2 linked regions of the Caenorhabditis elegans genome follow. The protein of the gene in region 1 binds, or shares a complex with, the protein of each later gene. Each region holds a gene or a part of one and is shown in the gene's direction. Other genes may lie near its edges.

Region 1 (3,924 bases):
ACTTTCTTCTTCGCAGTTGCTTTTCCGCGTCCTTGTATAGTAGTCGTCAAAGCAGTCGGCGGCGTTCTATTTTTTTTTTGCTTGCTTGCTTTTGCTATGTCTCGTGTGTGCCCAATAACAACAACAACCACATATATAGCCGTCTTCTGGATATATATGTATGTGGGTGTGTGTGTGTTATGGCTTTTCTTCGAACTTTTTATTTCACTCGGAAACTTTCAAGATTTGTCTTTTCTGATGCTTTTTAGGATTCCAGGAATTTTATTCGTTCGAACTAGTAAGTATGAAGTTAGAGTTCACAGCAAATTTTCATCAAAATTCGGAAAAAAACTGGTTTTTATATCGTAGCCCTACAAAAATAGAGAAATAAAAAAATCGAAGGGTCAGATTCACCAGTGTTATTTTTCGATAATTTGTCAGAAAAATTTGGGAATTAGAAACTTTACGAAGTCTAGTGAGTTGCAAATTTTTAAGAATCAAATTTGCTAATTTTCCTTCTTATTTTCGGATCAAATTTTCATTTCATATGAAATATTTCATAAAAAACAAAAAATCAGATTTTGTAGATAGAGCCCACAATGTAAAGGAACTACAACATCTGTAGAACCGGATCTGTTAGATTTTTTCTTCGAGTTTTACAAAATTTCAGACTTCCCAAGTTTTTTGTTTGAGTTTTGGCTCAGAAATTTCGAACATAAAACTTGGAGAATCAGATTCCCGGCTTTTAGAGAAAGTTCCGATTAGGGGCACCACAAATTGAGAAAACAAACATTCTGGAGAATCAGAGTTTCGATTTTTTGTTGCCAAAAACGACATCCTTGCTCCAACTGTCAGCATGCCAAACAACAGACACCCCTGTTGAAAATTTTAAATTCCAAATGAAACGGGGATGGGGTACATCGTAGTAATAGTAGTAGTTGGTTCTTAGGGGAGCACATCTCTGCTTCTTCTTCTTCGCAGCTTTTCGGTCTTCTGCGTCCGTTTGAGTGGTCAGTCAGATGTATGAGAGTGCGTTCCGTATCTCTCTGCGTCTCCACACCCTTGACCACTCTCTACGCCGTCGTGCTCTCTGTGTCTCGCCCGACTATCTCGAATAGAAAGTGACCACTGCTACATAATATTCGAATTCGCGGGGGGGGGGGGGTCTGTCTACTGCTGCTGCTGCTGGGTGGCCGTTTTCCTTGCCACACACTCTCTCGTCTCTCTTGCTCTTTGTGCATCTCATAGTTTGCTACTCGCGATCAGCTGTAGTCAACGTTCTCATATATACAGTATGCTTTTTGTTGAAAGTTTTGCCATATTGCCACGGCAAATTTTTTGGTACTTTAGTGGTTTTTTATTTCAAATCACCACGAACTTTTATAATTTTCCTCGATATTTGCATTTCCTCATTTTTTGCCAATGAAATTGTAAATTTTTCGCATTATTCTGTATGCTAGCACTTGTTTTCCAGCTTTACTTTACTCCCTTGTCCTCTCCCCGCCCCCAAAAGTACCAGAATAAGGTGTTTCCAAATTAGTTGTCCTTATCTTTCGAGGAGCCTCGTTTTAGAAAATGTGTACTTTTCTGCTCAATTCCCGGACACTTTTTCCGGGAATTCAGAAAAAGTCTGAACCACTACTAATTCTAATGTGATATTCTGAAGTTAGTCTTCATAATGATATATGCTAGCAATTTATATAACTAATTTTTCACATGGCGCACACATATCCTCATATCAGAACATATCAGAAGTTCTTGTTATTTTCCCGTTCCCCAAAAGTAACAGAGTAATAAAAAATTTCGAAATCCCGAGGGACGGTCCTTGGGGAGGTCGGGGTCATCACCCTCAACGTACATGGTACCGGGGGCCTGGTGGCGACAGGTAGTGAGGTCTCTCTTCTCAGTCCTGTTAGCACACACACAGTGGAGGGGTGCGTGCGCGCTCGCTCACTCGCCTACAGATCCGAGATGAATCGTAGACGCGTATTGAGGAAGACGGTGTTGGGTGGTGATGGTGTCGTGGGGAAGGGGGAAGGATGCGTACTATCTCTATATTTCTCGAGAACAAGAAGAAGATGATGACGATTCACTTTCCTTCTACTCGTCTCAGAAAGACACGGAGGACGAATTCTGCGGGTGCCTTTTCCCCGAGTAAATTTTCACATGTTTACAAAAAATGTTCATTATGAGCCTCTGTATTGCTTAAATTTGTCAATCATAAAATATTTTAAATAGGCAGTTCTCCTGAAAATAATACATTGAAAAATTTCGTTATTAAACCATTTTTGGTTTTTTTGTTGGAAATTTTTTTGTTGGCTTGATAAATTTGGCACAATTTCGTTTTCCGAGAGGAGAACAACTTTTATTTCCTTCTTCATCTATTTCCTCCTTTTTTTCAGAATTCTCTAGAAAAAAAACAAAAAAAAAAGAAGGCGTCCTCTCTCGTCATGAATGAATAACACTAGTTCCGCCTCACTTTTTCATGTTCTTTTTTCTTCTTTCTTTTTTCTTTCTTTTTTTCAAGTCCAGAAATTCCAGGATCAAGCAGTTCATCCGGCTGTAGTTCGTCATCTACAGAGCTCTACGATCTTGCAGCTGCACACGCCGCACTTATATCCCGACAGCAACAGATTCTCAGTCAGGGTGTGTTTTTGTGGAAAAATTAAAACAAATTGAGTTTTACATGTCCGGAAATGTGTGTCTCGCCACGAACTTTGTGGAATTCGTTGGGAGACCCTATTGTTTTTTTTAATAAGCTAAGAAATTGAGATTTTCGCTCATTCATGTGAAAAAAATAACGCTCGCTAATCTTTGTATTAGAATTAGAGTTGATTTGCTTTTATAATCCAGTTCAATTTGTCTACAAATTTTCTTTTTAAACAATTAAACTAGTTTGGAAAATGGATAATTAATTTTTAAACCTAACCGTTGAATTATTGATCGAAAAATGAAAATTAATTAAAAGTACTGTAAACTTTAAAGGAGCATACCTTTAGTTTCGTACTGGGTTCCACCACGATTCGAGAAATCATACATTTTATAATATTTTCTCGATTTTCGTGCCTAAGATATCTTTTTTTAATATTTAATTGAAACAAATTTTTTATTTTAAAATGTTCATTCTAACCGAAATTTCCAAACCCCATTGTTTGCTCCCGAAACACGAATTTTCAAATAGTTCAGTACTGTAAGATTTAAAGGCGCCCAAACTGTCTCTTGCAGTAGGTCTCGTCACGATCGGAGAAATTCTAAAAAAGTTTTTGTTTTTTCGTTTCGAATTTTTGTTTTTCTGCTCAATTTCTTCGCTTTGTTAGCTAAAAAATGTGTAAAATTTATCATTAAAAAAAACAAAGTTTCAACAATTTTCAGTACCTCTTCATATAATTCACATGAAATTGTCTAATTTTTAGCCAATTTCAGAGGATTTTCCGAAAAACTCAATAATTAATCAAGAATTGTTTCAGCAATCCCAATAATACCGGAACACCAGCTGGCCGCCGTCGCCGCTCACCATCAACATCACCAGCAGCTTCACCCATCGGTACAGTACCAGCTCGTCGCTGCCGCCACCCATCACAATCATCATCAGCCGCAAGCGGCACAACCACACTATTCAGCAGTTGTGCCACGATCTGACGGTTTGTTAAATAATGTTTTAAACGTTGAAAATTGTTTTTTTTTTCAATAAAAAAGTAATGTTTTTTTTAATTTTTCAGTAATACAACAACCACCACACTTTGCTCTGCACCACCATCTTCAGAATTTGGTTCAACAGCAGCAGCAACAGCAGGCTCACCATCATCATCAGCAATTAGTTGGTGAGTCGACCGATTTTTTTTCACGAAAACAAAAAATTAAAAAATAATTACCGAAAATCCGGAAAAAAACATTAAAAAATGAACGGAACAATTTCCCTTTTTTTAAAAGTTAACTTATGAAATT
Region 2 (3,924 bases), 8.0 Mb from region 1:
CATCAAGGCATCACTTTCAAATCCGTTTTACTGAGAAAGTGTCCTTGAATCGACGTTCTTCCGTTCGAAATCTTCACGCTTATGCAAACATATGGAGACAGATGTTTTCTGAAGCGATAGGGAGAAAAACGTGGGAAACAGGTGCAACAGTTGCTTTTATTTGCCAATTTTTTTTTGGTTTTTCTGCAAAATTTTCGACTATTTCTCTGCCTTTAATTTCCATTGAAAATTCCTGTATTTTTCGTAAATTTTTTGCCAAATTATGTTTTAAATTTCTCAAATTTGTACCCGAATTCACAGGAATCATTTAGAACACGATTTGTCGATATTGAAACAAAAAACTCAAAGTTAGTTGATTTTCAACAACACGAATAAGCTGAAAATTTCCGATTTATCAACATAAATCATGTGAAAAATGCAATTTTTGACTTGAACCCTACTTTTAGAGGTGAAAATTGAGGAATTTTGCAGATTTTCGGCCAGAAATAGTGAAATATCAGTTTTTTTTGTTAAAACTGAAATTTAGCAGAATTTCAAAAAGAAAAAAAAAACAGGTTTTGCATTTCACAAAAAAATGTTAAATTCTCTAAAATTGATTTTTCCTCGCCGCTGCTCTTGATTCTTCCAATTTCCGGTTCATTTTCAATTCCCCTAAATCCGGCTTTCATTTTTTCTTTTCCTTCTTCTCATCCTCACGCCTCACTTGATATCCTCAAAGTCATAGATTCAAATGTTTCTTCGTCACATTTTTGTCTCCGATGACACGCCTGATGATTTAATAATGTGGTCAAATTGATTGATTACTAGTTGGTTGTTGTCTCTTTCTCTACGAGTCGTGTACACACTGATTCCCTTCAGCCTGAGCAGGTGCATATTATCCATTCGCCAATGCTTCTCCTTTTTTTCGAGCTAACTCGCAAGGTTTTGATTAAAATTTAAATAAAAAACTTTAATCCCAAATCCAGAAATTTTCACATAAAACATTTGTGTGGCCTTTCGAAGTAAACTTCCTGCTCAACGGCATCACATTTTCTTTGATTTATTCACTAGATTAACTTTCAGTATTGAAAGCTTCAATCGAATTCAAAATGTATTGATTCGCGGCGCGGAGGTTTCTAGGCCACCGGCTGTGTACTCCTCTCGGACGGGCGATGCCATTCTTCTTATCAGTTTAAATCTTTTTTTCATCGCAAAACTTACTGATAAACTTTGTGAGTTACGTATTTAATAGGAATAATTTTCTCTCCGCTATTTTCGGATTAAATTTCCCCGAAACATTTTGCAACTGGCCGTTCGTCCTGCTGTTTGAACAGCATTCAAGTGTTGACCCCCCACAGAGTATATACCCATATGAACTGATTTATTGGTTACCCCCGATCGTTTTGCATTTATTATCCATTCACCAATGTTTCAGAAATTCAAAATTTTCTACAAGTGGCTGACTATTCGAAAAAAAAAAATAGAATAAGGTGTCAAAAAGTCTGTCAATATTGAAAAAAGCTCAGTGTCCACTTGAGTATGTTTGACTTGGAAGGTGTGAATAGCAGTTGCTCGAAAGACAATAGGAAAGGGGTTTTGTACTTTTGCACAGCATTCTGAGTTATTTTCTAAAATGAAAAAAATTATTTTTTAAACTTTTCTGTAAATTATATTAAAATTGAGAAAAAAACTATTGCTTTGATTCAAAAAACTCATAAATTAAACAATTTTTAAAATATTTTCTAGTTGCTGCAAGAATTAGATACAATTCTCACAAATCCAAAAGTTCGTAATTCTTTTAACTTCTCTTGAAACTTCTTCATTTTTTTGTGAAATCTCCACACACATCCGATTACTTTCCTTTATTCCCCTCATCAATGGCGTTTTCTCAGGTTCTCACATCGAAATTTCTCATTTTAGCTTAGTTTCAGGTTCCTCAACGGACCTGCAACCACCCATCTGAAATGGATGTGGATTGCGCAGAAACATGTAGGTTCCCCCTTGAAATAATAATTATTAAAAAAATCAATAAAATTTCAGTCTCGCAACCATGCACTCCGCTGAATTTCAATCCGATGACTCCGTCAACATCGAGAGTTTCAACACCAGTTCGGCCGTCTTCTACAATGTCTGCCAGACAATATTCAGGTGAGAAAGATATGAAATTTTGGCTTTACTTCGAAAAAAAGATTAAAAGCGGCCAATTTATGCTTAAGATTTTTAATATTCGGAAAAGAATTATTGTAATCTGAGAATTACTTTCATTTAAGCTGGAATAATTGAAAAGTGCTCCGAAAATTGTCTGAAAGTTGAGAATTGCCCGACAAAATTTTCGACAAATCATCGAAAATTTTTTTCAATTTCTCAAACTGAAACAAAAGTTATCTTCAGATAAAGCAAATATTATTTTCTACTGAAAACATGCCACACTGGCTCAATTACCGCGTACCCCTGATCTAGAATGATTGAATAAAAACTCGTTTGCATAACAATTAATCCAAGAATTTCCTGGTCGATAACATATTCCAAAAGGCCATTTCGCGCCCTTTTCTCTCTCGACCCTCTCCAATCACATCACCTTATCACTTCCCCCATTCCATTTTCGTATGTCTCGTGTGTCTATGTGTTCCCCATTGGAAACTTCCCTCAAATTACATACCTCTTTTCACATATTCATATTTCATTTTTCAGGTTCGCCGTTCAAGGCTCAACCTCAGAACATGGAACCGTCCAATTCTCGGGTGCAAGAACTCCGGGAAGCTGCTGTGGGAAAGCGATCATACACAAATGCTTGGATGCAGGGTACCTATGCACCGCCGCAGATGGCAGGACAACAACAAAGGTTTTCGAGGCCTCCGAGTGTGGTAAGAGATTTTTATAAGAATTCCGCGGCTTGAACAGATAATAAAATCAAATTTCAGATCGGCTCCACAATGTCTCACATGACGAATATGTCAGAAATGACCGCCTACTCGTACGGTGGATTGTCAATGCTCTCAGTCAACACTGAAATGGGTGAATTCAACAATTTTGTCAATCAGGCACCATATCAGCGAGCACTGACACGTGTATCGCAGGTTTCCGAGAATCAGGATCCGACGAATCGACAGTATCCGATGACAGCTCCCGAGATTATTGAGAATCTGGAATCAACGGAACTAATCAATCAAGCAGCAGCGATTCGAGCTTTGGAGCCAATTGTGAAAGCTGGTGGAATGTTGCAAACCTGGGGACCTAAAGGAGCCGAACCGATTATTCGAGCTCTGTTTCAAGTTCTTATTCCTCGGCCAGTTGAGAATGAGAATGTAAGTTTTGCATAAATGTTCGTTGAAGGTTTTCATGGTAGGTAGGAACATCGTCATCCCTAAGTGGATGCCTACAGCCTAATATTGTTTAAAAATCTAAAATCTAAATCTAAAAAAATCTTTCAAAAAAAAAAAAAAATATATATAGATGTATTAAAATATCGTTTGACAACTCCATATTTTTTGTAGGTAATCCGGAAAGCGTTTGAAATTCTCCACCACTCAATTCTTCTCTCCAACAAGGAAATCCGACGTATCGACAGGATGTTCTTCCGACTGAATGCGGCATTAATGGATCCCAATGGGCCGCCTGTGTTCAATGTACCAAAGCCATACAGTATCTATGAGATCGTGATGACACGTGCCATTCAACTTGACACGAAATTCGAGTCCAGTGCTATGGTTCTGCTCGTACATCTTTGTTGTAAACCTCATTTCATGAAGATTTTCTTTGGAGAAGATGAGACTCAACAGTCACCAGCACATCGACGTCTTCACAAAATAGTAATTGAATTTGCAATTGGAAACCTGAGAAGACCGGAAACGAAGTCAAAGAATAAGGGACTTTGTGTATCGATTATTAAGAATTTGTCGAATAAAAATGCAACTATCAAAGATATGTCAGAACGTCTTGGTGTTG

Evidence for each region.
Region 2: lit-1 (region 1) and wrm-1 share a complex: the UniProt entries of both Caenorhabditis elegans proteins name them as parts of the beta-catenin-lit-1 complex.

The regions. Positions count from the first base shown.
Region 1 is NC_003281.10:13,712,052-13,715,975, forward strand, and holds the start of lit-1 (Serine/threonine kinase NLK), read left to right. Parts: upstream 1-1,993; coding exon 1,994-2,133; intron 2,134-2,506; coding exon 2,507-2,625; intron 2,626-3,446; coding exon 3,447-3,620; intron 3,621-3,698; coding exon 3,699-3,800; intron 3,801-3,924. UniProt on the Caenorhabditis elegans protein: Has a role in the Wnt signaling pathway controlling the asymmetry of cell divisions during embryogenesis. Operates in the AB and EMS cell lineages influencing cell specification.
Region 2 is NC_003281.10:5,720,940-5,724,863, forward strand, and holds the start of wrm-1 (Armadillo repeat-containing protein wrm-1), read left to right. Parts: upstream 1-1,910; 5' UTR 1,911-1,943; coding exon 1,944-1,968; intron 1,969-2,019; coding exon 2,020-2,127; intron 2,128-2,670; coding exon 2,671-2,843; intron 2,844-2,900; coding exon 2,901-3,284; intron 3,285-3,473; coding exon 3,474-3,924. UniProt on the Caenorhabditis elegans protein: Antagonistic role in the Wnt signaling pathway that operates in embryogenesis. When located at the cortex it has been shown to inhibit Wnt signaling during asymmetric cell division but when relocated to the nucleus it shows positive regulation.